Linked DNA regions of Lytechinus pictus. The protein of the gene in region 1 interacts with the protein of each later gene in a biochemical or structural test. Links are inferred from orthologs where the notes say so. Each region holds a gene or a part of one and is shown on either strand. Other genes may lie near its edges.

What was found.
Region 2: the proteins of ubiquitin carboxyl-terminal hydrolase 8-like (region 1) and signal transducing adapter molecule 1-like form a complex in vitro, tested with the Homo sapiens proteins (2 studies listed by BioGRID). The link is inferred for Lytechinus pictus from reciprocal best matches to the Homo sapiens genes USP8 and STAM.

The regions. Positions count from the first base shown.
Region 1 is NC_087247.1:24,369,115-24,377,005, reverse strand, and holds the start of ubiquitin carboxyl-terminal hydrolase 8-like, read right to left. Parts: upstream 3,066-7,891; 5' UTR 2,928-3,065; coding exon 2,827-2,927; intron 2,483-2,826; coding exon 2,338-2,482; intron 1,980-2,337; coding exon 1,894-1,979; intron 274-1,893; coding exon 116-273; intron 1-115. UniProt on the Homo sapiens protein: Hydrolase that can remove conjugated ubiquitin from proteins and therefore plays an important regulatory role at the level of protein turnover by preventing degradation. Converts both 'Lys-48' an 'Lys-63'-linked ubiquitin chains.
Region 2 is NC_087245.1:5,553,233-5,561,067, forward strand, and holds the start of signal transducing adapter molecule 1-like, read left to right. Parts: upstream 1-4,807; 5' UTR 4,808-4,919; intron 4,920-6,549; 5' UTR 6,550-6,574; coding exon 6,575-6,625; intron 6,626-7,835. UniProt on the Homo sapiens protein: Involved in intracellular signal transduction mediated by cytokines and growth factors. Upon IL-2 and GM-CSL stimulation, it plays a role in signaling leading to DNA synthesis and MYC induction. May also play a role in T-cell development.

The DNA.
Region 1 (7,891 bases):
CATAGGACTATATTGTTTTAATAGTACCTTTGATGTTTATATTAAACTCACAAAGAGTTTTAAGTGGGCTCTTTTGCTAATTGTAAGGGCTGTATTAATTTCATCTTTATCTTACCAAATTCTCTTTTCTTTTCCTCCTCTGGAACTCCATTCTCCACTGAACCTTCCTCTCCATCTTTGGACTTGCCATCCTTCAAACCATTTGTTTTCACTTTCTCCTTCTCCTCTTCTAGTTTCTTACTTGCTTCCTTTGCTTCCTCTAGCTCATTGTACCTGTGTAATACGATTAAAAATTAGGGAATTTGGAAATGATAACTTATTTATCATAATCATTATCCATCACTGCAGGAGCTCACTGTACATATGATTTGTTTAAGATGAAAATTCAAGGAATTTGAAAATGATTACCTTTTATAATTATTGGTCATTACTGTATGACTCATATTTTTTGCAAATAGATCTTTATCGTCGGAAGGCTTCTGCTGCATATTGGCATGTCTGTGATACATGTTCCCACCAATACGAGCTACCCTTGGTACACCGACAAATCAATGGGGTGCATGATGCATGCAGTGTCCAGATATATATGGGCAGTATAGCTACACTGTACTGTACACCATTGATATAGTAATTAAAATTTGACAAAATTGTGACAAGTGTGCTGCAAGGATATTTTGTATGGTGATAAATTTATGTTTTTGTTTTTTTCAATTTCAAATTTGTGAAAATCCCTCACATAAGAACAGGTTATACATATACAAACTTTCTACTTGCATTGCATAATGAAAATAAAGATATGACAGTGATAGCTCAAGATGCTTTTTGCACACATAATTTGGAGAAAATTTCAGGGAATTAAAAAAATATATAATTCTTACATAATCTATGAGAATTCAGGTATAAGATTGAAAGTTGTATTTTCCTCGAAATACAAAGATGTTATCCTTACAATGAGTAAACTAGCACTAATTGGTTCATACGTGATCTACAATGCAAAGAGTGAACCACAGTGGACCGACATGACACTTCTTCACTGACTCTCATTTTGAATTTCTCCAATATGATTGTTGTACATCTAAAGATAATTATTTGCTCATTTTTCCGTCAATATTATGCTGTTCAGATTATTATGGCGTAAGGGCTGATTCCTTTCCCCTTATACTTCACCCCCTCTCTACCTCTTTATCTATATTCTCTTCTCCCCTTTTCCTATTTCTTCTCTTCTTTCCAACCTATTCCAAACCATTTCCTTTCCATCAGCCCTTGCTTCCTCATTCTTCCCCATTCCAACCATTCTTGTTTCATTTATATATGCCAGACAGTAATATATCATATAATTTAATATATCACACCTGTTACATATACAAAATATAAACTCAAGATTAAGGCCTACCTATGTGAATTTACACTTTATCTGTTCATATATTCATAATTGCATAATTTATATATTTTTGTAATTCCATATGTTAGTACGATGACCTCATTTCAAAATAAGAACAACCTAAGTTAAACCACGGGATAGCACATCCCCTCCTTCCACCTTCTCACCACTTTAAGTATAAATTTTGCTATGAATTGAATTGACGCGTTTGATATGTAAATAATTATTATATCTTGTTTTATGTTTGTTTATGTCTATCTTTACTGTATTCAATTTATGTTGCCCCCTGTATTACGTTCGTTTAGAACTGGTAACCTGGGCCCATTATTGTGATTCCCTTTTTTATGAATAAAAGGTGAGTTATAAAAAAAAATATGCATACAGTAAACATACATATTTTGGGCTAAAACTAGTAAGCTGACATGTAATGTGAAGAACTAGAAATATTTCGTTCCAGAAAGAAAAATACTCCAAACACTCCCAATGATTAAGGAATCACATTGAATTCTCACCTCAAGGTCAATGATGCTGAGAGTTCCTCTGCCTTATCTATAGCCTTTCTGCATCCTGCCTTACCAATGAGAGTATCAATATAATCCTAGAAAAATAAATAAAAGAAACCTTAAAAATGATTTCAGTAGATATTATCCAGTCTTTGAAAAAAATGGTACATACATGTATAGAGTTTGTTAATATTTCAAATGCATATTTTTCTATGCCACATGTTAGTGAATTTTATAATGTAGAATACAAGGAAAGGCATGAGTAGTTGTTGAGATGGTAAATGCTTACTCACTTAATCAATGGTGCTTTGTCAGATTTAATGTCTTATCTCCTTTGCTCAAATATTTTGTTTATTTAAGAGACTCTCACTCCTCTATTAAAAAAACAAACAAAACTACTTGCTACAGAATTGGATACTTTCACCTATAATAACAGAGTCAACTTAAACTTACCTTGTTTGACTTATAATCTTTTGCCTTCTGAACAGCTTTCCATAGTGTGAGGTACTTCATGAACAGAACATAGGCACGTTCCTCATCAAGGTTTTTATCAGCTTTTTCTGCCTCAACGAATACCTTGTTAGCTGATCTGGCCAATCTGGTGTCAGAGTGAAACATAATATACTGCATATTTTTGTAGCAAAACCCAAATGATTCATGAAAATTATACATGTGACATATACTATACTTTTCATATAATAACATTTTCTGCAGTGGCATTTAATGAGACTGTCGTTTGGGTTAAAAAGCATGATTTCTGGGAAGTTGTGAGTTGACAAAGTGAACAAGCCCTAAAAACCCTATTTTCATGAACAATGAGCTTGATCATTGTTTGGGTACATCCATGTTATCTTATTGTAAATATATTTCTCAGGGCTAAAATGCCCAAAGTGATATATGTGAAGATTATCGATTAGCCCCAAATGTGAACTTATTACTCACATTTTTGAAGTTTGTCCCTTGGTTATGTTCTGGTCCACCTTCTTGTTGAGTTCCTCAATGGAGGAGCTGATGTAGAGAGGTTTCTTCAATGCTCCGGGCATGATTACCGGCTGCCTTCCTCAAAGTAACAAGCCTCACAAAAGAATGCAATTTAAGTAATTGGGACTAGCTATCTGGTCATAGAATCTTGAATCAGTCAGACTACATCTTCAAAGTAGCATCTAGACTCTATTAACATCTGTGAATTGAAAAAAGATAGAAACTTTGATATCTTTTTGCATCAGAAAATGGAGAAATACCTTTTAAATCCTGTCATAAAAGACTTCATTTATAATTCAAACATCATGACTGCAGATTCACAAAGATGCTGTTCACTAAATTCAATTTATTGCCAAACTATGATTGTCCATACAGGTAGTTTGCCTTGACAAGACAGCAATTTACAGAAGTTTACAAGCAATACATTGTATTCAATAAATAGTTCGGGAGACTGTCAGAAAATATTTAAAAGCAAAAACCTTTGCAATTATCTGTGCTTTTTATAAGTATATTTTGTAAAATCTCTTGATCTAGGGGATAAATTGTATGTTTTTGTCACAATCATTTATTACTGATTATTTATGGTATGTTCGTTGAGTGGTTACGCTTCCATCTTAGCCTGTGCAATGGAAAACAATTGCGCAGTTGATAGACTGATTGCTCGGCGAGAGAATCAAAACCATGATAGTTCCGCTACACGATCAAGCCGTTGATATTGGAACTGCTTTCCATGATAAAAGCCAGGATGGCGGCGAACTACTCGCTGCAAATATCCCCTCATTTTTTTCAAAAAACAAAATAGGACTAGCATTTTGGGAAAGAAAGTAAAATTTTGATGTAATCGTTTTGTCAAAATATTTTGAATTGTCATGTCGTACTTAGTTTTAAAAGGTAGTAGTAGAATTGGCCGGCGGGAAGGTGATTTTCAAGACATTGTTTACATAAGGCAAAGCCTCTCATAGCATGTGTACATGTATGACTTAATAGAGATGCAACTATATCTCTGCTCCAAAGAGACAGCAGAACTCACGCAGTATATATAGATCTGCATCGAGCCACCATTCCTTAACATTTTTCAATTATGGAAGAACTTTAGCGCATGTGTTTCCCATGCTCACTATGTCATCTGGTGTTTATTCAACAAAATTAACATCTGTAGCTAGTCTAGAATGTACATGTAGCACATGAATAGTAATTTTATTCATTACAGGGATTGTCTCTTTGTAGTCACATTTCCTTAATTTTCTTTCAGAAAATAATGATTTCGTTACTTTGGATGCTTGATTTGGGACTAAGAACCAGTTGGTTTATGTTCTTAAAATCAAGAATGACAGGGGCGAAAAAGCATCTAATCCATAACAGGTGGGGTAAGCCCTGCTGGTAGTATGCACTAGTGAGAGTCCTGCTGGTATGAGGGGGGGGGGGCATTTCTGTGCATCTAAAAATTGAACCTAAGAATAATTATGAATTTCTTTGAAATTTCAGAAAATTTTTAGTTGACATCGTTTCTTATAAAGCCAAAATCTCATAAAAAATTGAGCAAATATGTACTTCCAAATTTACAGATGGGGGGGGGGGGGGGGGGAAATGGTGCCACACATGTCTGCTCACCCATTCACATTAGACATTAATTTAAGAATTTTTATGAGAATGGCTGCATTTTGAGGCCATTAGAATTACACATGCAGGGTAAAGAGCCCAAATATTGGACAGTTCTAAATATCAAACAAAAATGATTTCAATTCCCTCTCTACAGCATGTGATACTATTAGTTACACCCTGCTTGTTCCCGTATTTCGTAAGAACAAGCAGGCCATAGCAGGGTGTAACAGTTTTATCTCTTTAAGGGTATCCTTATATTATTGCAGAATAAGGTACAATAGTACTAAAAAAACCCTGCATTTTGAGAGTGATATGAAAGGAAGTCATTTATGACATCACAATGATCACAGTAAAGAGAATGGGTATTTTGCAATTGAAATTGATGCGCAAATAGTAGTGCGTAGCGCAATGCTTGAATACACACATAATACGGTCTCATACTACGTGGTTGAAATCATCACTGGGTATGCGCATAACAAAATTAAAACAACAACAGCTAAACACGGGTGATATGGGCTCATATTACCTTTTTGATCTTTGTGACCAACAATAATAACAAACAAATCGACCAATCAGATTACAGAATTCATGAGAAAAATAGTCCACTAAGAGATAAATGAACATGTCTTCTATTGCACTGCACACACAGTAGACCCAGGTTGCTGCCCACAAAAATTATTCCAGGGGGTCATACATAGGCCTATAATCAAGGAGTGCAACTGTTTTTCGAACTGTAATTGTCTAAGAACTTTCTAAAAGATGCATCAATTTCTTTGAAATTAAATATGTTCATTAGTTATTACCAATACTAAAGTTAATTAACCCACTACAAATGTAATGAAAAGTACTAATTAAATATAAATACTAATTACCCATATTGATGAAAAACATTGGGTAACGCATGATTTTTCATTAAAGGACAAGTCCACCCCAACAAAAAGTTGATTGGAATAAAATGAAAAAATTTCATCAAAATCAGATGTAAAATACTGGTAAGAAATTTATTATATTCTAAAGTTTCGCTTAATTTCACAAAACAGTTATACATGTATGCATATCTTGATCGGTATGCGAATGAGGAGACTGATGACGTCATCCACTCACTATTTCTTTTGTAATTTATTATCTGAAATATGAAATATTCTTATTTTCTACTCATTGTCAAGTGAAACAACAATTAATTCCTCCCTGAACATGTGACATCCAACTCATAGGAGTGGTCTTTAATTTCAGACCTTAAAAATAACTTTTCAATCATTTTTAAAGGTCAAGTCCACCCCAGAAAAAGGTTGATTTGAATAAATAGAGAAAAATCAAACTAGCATGTAACACTGAAAATTTCATCAAAATCGGATGTAAAACAAGTCAGTTATGACATTTGAAAGCTTCGCTTATTATTCACAAAACAGTGATATATGCACAACTCGGTGAGATGCAAATGAGACAGATGATGATGTCCCTCCCTCACTATTTCTCATGTTCATTATGGTTTGAATTATACAATATTTCATTTTTCACAGATTTGATAATACAGATCAACTTGAATGAACCATATTAAACAATGCTAAACATTCCAATGATGCTTTTAACTACTTTGTAACCTTGAGTTAAAATGAGATGGAGCTATCATAATAGTGATTTGACCAAGTGACACTTGAAACTTTCAACCCTTGGTGTAGGGTTATCCCCCATCATTCCTTCATATTGAAGATGATCTACTCTTCATTTTGATTACAATGAGTACATTTTAATTGAAGATATAAATTTTGAAAAGTAGACAATTTCCTCAGGCTAAAAAGAAATAGATCGGACATTTTTCACCATTTATCAATGGTCATTCAAAAATATCAAAAAGTAAAAAAAAAATGTTCCTATACCCCTACATGTATCTTTATAAAATTGCACTGGTCAATGAATTTTTGTACATCAAGGGCTCTCACTTAACTTTGGTTGCTGGCTGGGCAACCTATAATACACTGTACACTACTAGTATATTATAGGTTGCCCGGCTGGCAACTATTAAAGGGGAAAAAAGGCCAAGTGGCCTATTACCCTGCAAAAACAAATAATAAAATTTGAAACTTGATAATTTATTTATTTATAATCAAGTTTTAAATTTTATTATTCGTTAAATAATAATTTCTATCTATAAATTGTTCTTCAAAACGGCATTTTGTAACATCGCTTATCGAAGGTTATGTCATAACGATGCGGTTCAAGGGTCAAGCCTATTGTATTTGCATTGTTTACAAATGGATTGAGGGATCTACATGTACACAAGATCGGTCTGGAAAGAAACCTCTAATTTACTATTAAAACTAACACACTTTTTACACCTTCATACGCAGTAGGCATATGAAGGTTCATAGATAAATAAAATAGACACTAACCGATTTCACCCTCTAAATATGGATTTCCTAGGGAAATCCATCCGGGTGTATAGGTGTCGCTTATGCATGTATGGAAATGGTTTCAAGGCTTCGAGATGAAGAAGTACCGGTATGTCAAAATGTCAACTATGTCAAAATATTAAAAAATATCATCACAAAGTCCTCAAGTCTAGTCGAATGCCAGGGCCCAGGCCCAGGCCACCCATGGGTTCATATCATCTCGCGTGCGAAGGAATATCAGTTATATGCACGCGACACACACGACCCATCCAAAATATACTGGGCTTTTGCCCACATAAAATATCACGCATAATCTGGTATTTCACATTCTGCTATGACACTTACCGAATCATTTAGATCCTTCCGTGACTTCTCCTTGAAGTTTCTTTAAAAAAATATGTATATTTTCTTGATCTTTAGTGAAGATTTCACGGAGATAAAAATTGGTCAGCGTGGATATCAATTTTCGCCTAAAGAGGGCGCGCGATTTATATTCATATCAAAGACACGACAAGGGAAAGACTTGGCACCTAATCTATTTTACACGCAAATCGACGCAAGGCATTACGCGAAGTCCGTGCAGTGTCCAATCTTTTCATTGTATTGGTATACCGTATTATTGGCGTTCGTTAAAGCTTGTACTGCTGGTTTCGTTCCAGGCATGTGTATTTTTTTCAATTTTTTTTTATTTGTCATCGTTTTAAATAATTTGCAAATAAGTGTTATCATCGCCAATAATAATCTTGAATTATGTTTTTGAAGGTATTTCAATTATTGGTGCCCATAATTAGCCAAATAATCATAAGAATTGCGCTTTCAAAGAATTTAGACACAGTTATAAAATTACCGAGGAGCTGAATCAAGGTTGTGAAATTTATTAGCGCCACCAATGGGCTTCCTTGTATTTCCGTAGAAGAGACAAGCGAAGTCACTTTCCAGGCCGAGGTAAGCGAATTTGCTCTTTTTGTACTATTATTATTTCCAAATAATGACTAAAATCTTTTTAGTGTATTGCTACTTACCGGAAAGAGCCC
Region 2 (7,835 bases), on another chromosome or scaffold:
TTCCTTTTCCCTTCCTCTCCCTTTTCTTTTTGTTCTTTCTCTCCTTCCATTCTTTTCTTCTCTTTTCATTCTCTCCTTCCTCTCTTTTATCATTTATTCTTTCTTTATTTTCTTTTTTTTCCTTTTTGCTTTTCCCTTCCTTCCTGTCTTCTTTCTTTTTCTCAAAGAATGAAGGAAACATTTTTCTTTCCTTCCTTCATTCCTTCATTCATCCTCAGTCTTTTTCTTACCTTCTTTTTTTCTTTCTCTTTATTTCTTTCAAACATTCATTCATCATCCCTTCCTTTCTTTTTCTTTTTAAGAATGAAGGAACCTTTTTTTTCCTTTCCTTTATTATTTCTTTCATCCTTCTTTTATTCTAACTTTCTTTTCACTGTTTTTTTTCCCTTCATTTTCTTTACTTCATTATTCCCCTACATTTTTTCTTTCTTCTCCATTCATCTCTTTTCTTTCTCTCCTTCATTCTTTATTTCACCCATTTGTTCACCCTCCCTTCCTTTCCTTTTCTTTCTTTATATTTTTATTTCTCTCTTCATTTCTTTTATAATTAATTTCAGTGATTCCTTTTTTATTTTGTGCCACGGTCACAAAAGTACATGAAAATATATGAGAGAGGAAATCATTCAAATGGCATATCAACACACTAATTTTGGTCATGGCCGGCAAGATAAAATCACTTTGAAAAAAAAAATATAATTTTACAAATACAAGGTACATCAGTTCATGTTAAAAACAGGAAAAAGGCAATGGTACATGTCCATAGAAGAGCAATTCTTTCCTTTAAACGGTAATATCCTGTTTTGAAATATTTTTTGGGGGGCAAGTGAAATATATATTCGGGCAAGTATTGTCCAACTATTTAGAAATAAAAAGATGTTATGTAGCACCCTGTACAAGTTTTAATACATTTGACATCTAAAAAAAAGGATACCGAAAAAAAAAGGCCTTTGATGCCCTTCTTGGAAAAAGATTTTGGCCTTGGTGCCCTTTGAAGTGGCCTTGGTGCCCTAAAAAATATGAGGTATTTCAAGGCCAAACTGGCCTTGCCCTAAAAATGACAAAATTTAAGGCCTGGTATCGATAGCGATAACGATATCCGGTCACATTGTCTACGCGGGAAATGGTCTTGGTTCGTGATCGGATCACTCCAGTATCGATTGAAAATTATCGAAACTCTGCAATTTCATGCATATTCACGCGACGCTCTGAAACCCGGAAATCCATTGACTTTGTGCACGTTGCGATAGACTGTACAGACTCCAACGAACACGATGCCATATCGACGCTGATTCGTAAGATTTTGACGGAAACGCAAGAAGTAATCGAAATTTGCTTACCTGTGCGGTATCGGTGAGAAAATAGATCCTCCGAGAATACCTTTCATAATTCATATAGAATATAGGAAAGTGAAATTCTAGGTCGATTTTGGTACGAAGTGATAGAGAATTGCACACTTGTTTTGGTGGAATACTGTGTGGGGGAATGGAAGGATTGCACTGCGCATGCTTACTATATTTTCATTCATAAATTGTCTCTCGGCAGTGGTTGGATGACGTCATTTTATTAATAAGCAAAATGTACGCGCCCGCTAGCGTTGAACGCTCCGCTATCCGTTTTACACAATTTGCCGATGTGACTCGTTAATGAACAAGGTTATAACTATGGGCTTGGCCTTGAAAAAAAATACTTGCGTCAGCTGATATCATGAGTCGTAAAATACTATGAAGTGATTTCACGATATTTATCGGCCGACGCAAGTATTCTTTTAAATCTAAGTTGGCACTGCTCATGATATTGTCACCCTCTATACGCGTCTAGTATCTTTGGCTACGATAGCAAAGATGGCAAGATGGCGACAATAACATATATGTAAGTAAACGCTCCTCTACTTTTAATATTTTGATGTATTCAAGCGTTATCTTATGACAGGCGCGTAGCCAGGGGGGCAGTGGGGGCGGTCGCCCCCCCAAAAAAAAAAAAAAAGAAGAGGAAAAGGAAAAAAAGAAAAAGCAAAAGGAGAAAAGGGAAGAAAGGTATAGCTTTTGTTGTTTTTTCCTTCTTTTTTGGTCAAAAGAATAACCTAAACGAGACGTTCTCTCTTCATGCTATAAATTTGCTTCCGCGCTCCTCGCGGGAAAAATATCAAAATTGCCATTCCCTTTTGTTTCCCACACCTTTTCTCTACTCCGTTTTCCCCCTTCCCGGCCGTGGAAATCGTATATTATTGCCAGAAATTATAAGTATACATGGGTGTAGAGTATGAAAAGTATTTTTTTTATATATTGCATTGATACAAAATTTTGGCTCTTCTGTTCGGAGCGGGTAAACATTACTGTCACTACCGAGTCCCCAAATGATTTTTTCTTCCGCTTTTCAGCAAGTAATTTTTGGCAAAGTGTCTGCTCCAAGGGAGAGGAAATAAATTCGTGCCGTGCTAGTTGCCATAGTATGAACGATATTAAGCTTTATTCTATATCGCTGCACATCCGTCTCCTGCCTTGTTTTGCGTCATTGAATTGAAATTTTGAATATCACTGAACTTTCTTAATAAAAAAAAGGAGGCGCTTAATACGAGCGAAATTTTTTTCTTCCAAAATAAATCACAGAGGTTTCCGTGCTTCGCGAGCATGGGAAAGGAAATGTCCCTCCTCTAGCTTGCATCATCCCTTTCACATTTTGAGCTCGTTTTTCTTCATAAATGAGCTATATATATAATCTAAGAAATATCAAAATTAGAACAGGTTAAAGTTTCAGATAAATTTCAAAAAATCAAAGCGTTTGCCTTTAGCAGGAAGGAATAGGGCCTATTTTCTTCTGTATATACCCATTTTCTACTCTGTTTTGCGACTTGAGTTAACAAAATTTAATGTTGATAAACCTTTTACACTCAAATCTGATGTGACCAAGATAGGCATATCATTTATGTTCTCTATTTTTATAAAACGTTTTAAGCTTCAAAGAGGAATTATTTCAAATTCTCCAATCTTTCCCCATTTTGGGGGGAGCTCATAATTTCTTTCGAAAACAATTTTTTTTAATCACAGCAACTCTATTTGAGTTGATAAGGGTACTAGAGATGCAAGAGACGCCTTCTTTTGATTTGAATTTGATGAGATATCAAAAACTTCACGCTCCGCGCGGGAGGGGGGAAACTCCCCCTCCCTGCACCCTCCCCCCTAGAGAGCGCACCACTTGGCATGCACTTACCACCCCCTCAAAATTTAAATCCTGGCTACGCGGTTGTCTTATGACAAAAACTGACAATTTTTTGTCAAAAGTTGCCAACCAATATTGTTGCCAATTTACATAAGTTGGGCTCAAACCCCTAAGGATAACTCGTATTTTGGCGCAACATTATTGTTGCCGAATTCGTCGGTGCGTGTAGAGCAATGGCATGCCGTCCCAGGCTTCATGGAGAGTAAGCCTTCGTCAGTAAAATGACTTTTGCTCTCCTGGGGCTCGTTTCTCAACACCGTCATAAGTCTAACTTCTTGACTAAATCGGAGATAGTGAGCTACTTGTCCGCTAACCGTTTCACGAAGCCCTCTTTACCAAGATCGGGTACAACAACCTCACTAAACACCTCCGAACTTGTCTTAACTTCTTTCTCAATGACGTAGTGGCATTACGTGGGTAGACTATGACATGCGAAAGTGCCTGGAAATTTTGAAATTATAATCTTACGTAATCAATCATAGTCATTGAATGCATTAACCCACTTGTTTTGTGATGTTATTTCAACCACTATGATAGTGGTTGAAATAACATCACAAAACAAGTGGGTTAATGCATTCAATGATAATTGTAATACAAAGAAACTATAAAAACTGTTGGTAAACGCCACAAAACCATTCATTTTGAAATAGTAAAACGATTTAATCGATAAAGATTCTACCACGTCAGGCCATCCATAACTGAACTCGTATTTGTTGTTTTCAGACCCCTATTAACAATTGGATGAATTCTATCTCTAATTTATGCATATAATTTGTCCAATTCATCATAATATTTGCAATTTTGTCATAATTTTTCTTTTTGAAAATTATGCTATTTTGTGACTAAGGCTACGTCTCGTCTGCTCTTTTTACCGATAGTATCGATATCAAGGTATTCTAGTTAGAAGCCTTTCGAGAAACAGGTTTAGTAAGATTGGAACTAACTCCGTGGTTGGTGGATAAAGATATGACTAACTTGTCCATGTGTTGAGAAACGGGCCCCAGAAGCCTCCAGGCTACTTACTAGCCACAAAACACGATCTCACCCCCACTTCGCTATAATCATGACAATACAAACTGCATGACTTCACTTGACTTCATTTGATCGAATCAAGAACGCCACTAGCGCAAGCTTTATTTTAGCGAAGTACCAACTAACGTAGAAGGCAGCACACGACTGTGTGTTGCTGCCCTCTACATTCGAAGATGTACAGCACGATATCAAAATGTCGGATAGGCGAAAGATGTTGACTGCTCAAAACGATGTCCAAAAAGCCCAAAACTTATCGATAAAACTTCATCCAACCCTAAAATAATGCAAATAACGTGAAAGGTGAGGATGTATTTATGCTAAATATGTTTGTGTAAAAATGTTATGTAACCATTTACATCCGAAGAATGCGGATTTTAAAGTGTTCTTGGTACAGTGGCAGATACAAATTTTGACCAACGCGAGTATGTGACATCGCTATAATGGATAAAAAATACGTATTGATTATTTTCTTTTGTCGATAGTTATCGATATCGGTAAGATATTTTTAGTGCGATATCGACAGAGAATTTTCCTAATGATAACAGCCCTAATAAGCATATTATATTTGTTTATTGTCTTATTTCAGATAAAGTGACAAGTGAATCTAATACTGCAGAGGACTGGGGACTTATTCTTGACATCTGTGACAGAATTAAGGCAAATTCTAATGCGTAAGTATTATCTAAAATCAAAGTATTAACAAATGTAATGACTGGATTGCTTATAGCACATTAATGAAATTTAAATGTTGAATTTGATATTATAGTGGCTTATTCCACCCAGGTGAAACCAAACAAACGTTATATTTATTCCTTTTCCCAAAGCTCTCCAAAGATGAAAATACCTGCAGCTGAGGTGGAAAATTGTCTTCAATGGTGTAGCGATTAAGTACTCGCGGCACACCTGGTTCAAGACATTTGTAGAAATTGATGTTAAAGGCTGAAAGTAATCCAATTTTGATTGACCTCAATGCCCCTCTTATTGGCCTTAACCCTATCTAGGCCGGGGTATTTTGGGAGTTCATATGGCCGGGGGGGCCTCCCAGGCCCCCCCTTGAGATCTTGGCTGTCGACCGCGCGATCGCACCGAAAATTGGCATGCGGGTTGTCTAGGACATAATCTACAAAATTGTATAGTAATTTATTTCATGCGAATTATTATTAATGCGTAATTAGTATGCAAAATCTTACTTTTCCCTCTAACTCCCCAAATAAAGCTCCAAATGTTCTACTTTTTGGTATAGAAACTCTATGGTGTTCTGAGCAAGTGTACTTGAAAAAAATTGCGATATCAAATCATTTTCTTATGTATTATATTGTTTTTTGCAATTTCTTATGTATTTCTCTGTTTTTTTACCTTTTGTTTTTCATTGTTTTTTCAATGAAATTTGTTGGGGACTCTTCTGAGATCATAAAAGCATAAAATAAATACATTTAGACCAGCAAAACTAATAACAATCATACATTTATGAATTTTGGTTGAAAACACAATTTGCATTGATTTTGTACACAAAACCACGTTTTTGAGCAATTTTTGGTCTGACATGCTCTTACATAATGTTGCGTAATTTCGGAACCACGTACCCGGGTGAAGCAAAATTGGTCTCAAAAGTTGCGCAAGACTTGAAAGTAAAAAGTCAGTGAGCGGCACGTGAAAAAAATATCGCGCGATTCATTGAGGGGGGGGCCTCTGAGGCCCCCCCCCCCGGCCTAGATAGGGTTAAAGATTGTTGTGTCTTTTTTTCCCCTTTTTTTCTTTCTATTGTGCTGATATGTCATACTATACTTAAGTGGCCTTGCCCCCAAAATATTGAAAATTAAGGCCTGTGAGTTCACATATGATATACATGTAAGCCACTTTATTTTTCGTAAACTACATGTAAATGCAGTTATACAGTGGTTTTACATAGACATACATTTAGGCTAGAGATCATGTCTGCAAATCCATAAAGTAGAAAAAGTTTGATAAATTGACAAGAATACAAGAAGACTGACCTTAATTTGTATTGAGCAAAGCAAAAGTCTGTGCTTCATGTGTATTCAGGAGGAACATGCATAGCATCCTGGTTTCACAGTACAGTATTTTGTTTCTGCAGAATGAGGGGAGGGGGGTGGGGGAGATAAGCAAGTGTAGGAGGGAGAGCAGTACTGGTATTTAGACTCCACTAAAGACGTATTTCAGATTGCAATAAAATAAGCATTAAATATCAGTGCATTACATGTATGAAACCATGGAGAGTATTGATTTATGTTCACGTTTATGCTGTTAAAAAGAATTTAAACATAAATCTTTTATTCTCAGGCCAAAAGACGCTTTCAAGTCGATTATGAGGAGATTAAAGACCCCTAATCCACATGTCCAGTTGCAAAGTTTAGTGGTGAGTCAGTGTTCTATTCAGCACCTTTATGATTGAAGTTGAAAATGTCAAAATTAGAAACAAACAAATATCTACTTAACAACTGAATGTGAAAATAATCTTTTGATTATAATTCCACAGGGTGAAAATATGTTCGAAAAATTTATGAAATTCATCATAATTATACATTCATGTAAATTCTTCCTCTTACATCCCCAGTTATGGTAAGCTATTTTGGTATGTGGCTAGGAAGATTCTCTCAGGTCCCCTTAGCAAAATGGGGACACAAAATTAGGCTCCCATTGGTAGAAAATATAAGTTGTTACTTTGAGCGAAAAAATGTGGAAATGGAATACATATTTATTACATAGATTGTTACGTGTTTACACAAAATATATAAAAAGGCATCAAGTTACCAGAAAATGATGGAGTAGAAAAAGAATAAAGATAAAAATAGTAAGATAAAATGAAAATGGAAAACAAACAAAAAGACAGAGAGGGGGGGGGAGGGGTCAAGGGATAAATACTAGAGAGTATAAGAAAGAAAGAATAGAAAAACATAATTATAATTTAGTGTGTATGATACTAGCATGAATACCAGGAAGCCTATTTTGAAGTCAAAATATCAAAGGTCAAGGTCACAGTGACATGTTTTCATCTTACCCTTCTGAAGTCCTTGTAAATGCGATAACTTCATTTGAACTTAACCTAGGCTCATATAATTTAGTGTGTATGATACTAGTATGGATCCCAGGAAGCCTTTTGATTTTGAGATCAAAAGGTCAAGTTCACACTGACATGTTTTCATCTTACCCTTCTGGAGTCCTTGTAAACGCGATAACTTCATTTGAACTTAACCTAGGCTCATATAATTTAGTGTGTATGATACTAGTATGGATCCCAGGAAGCCTTTTGATTTTGAGATCAAAAGGTCAAAGGTCAAGTTCACACTGACATGTTTTCATCTTACCCTTCTGCAGTCCTTGTAAACGCGATAACTTTAGTTGAACTTGACCTAGGCTCATATAATATGGTGTGTATGATACTAGCATAGATCCTCGCAAGTCTAGATTGATTTTGAGATGAGAAGGTCAAAGATGAAGTTGCCATCTTCCACTTCTCTTGCTTGACGAATGACTCCATTTTCCGTGTTACAGACAGGCGTATTATGTGCTCGCCTTAACGACACTCTTGTTTTAAATAAATTCACAACTTTTAATGTATAAGGGCC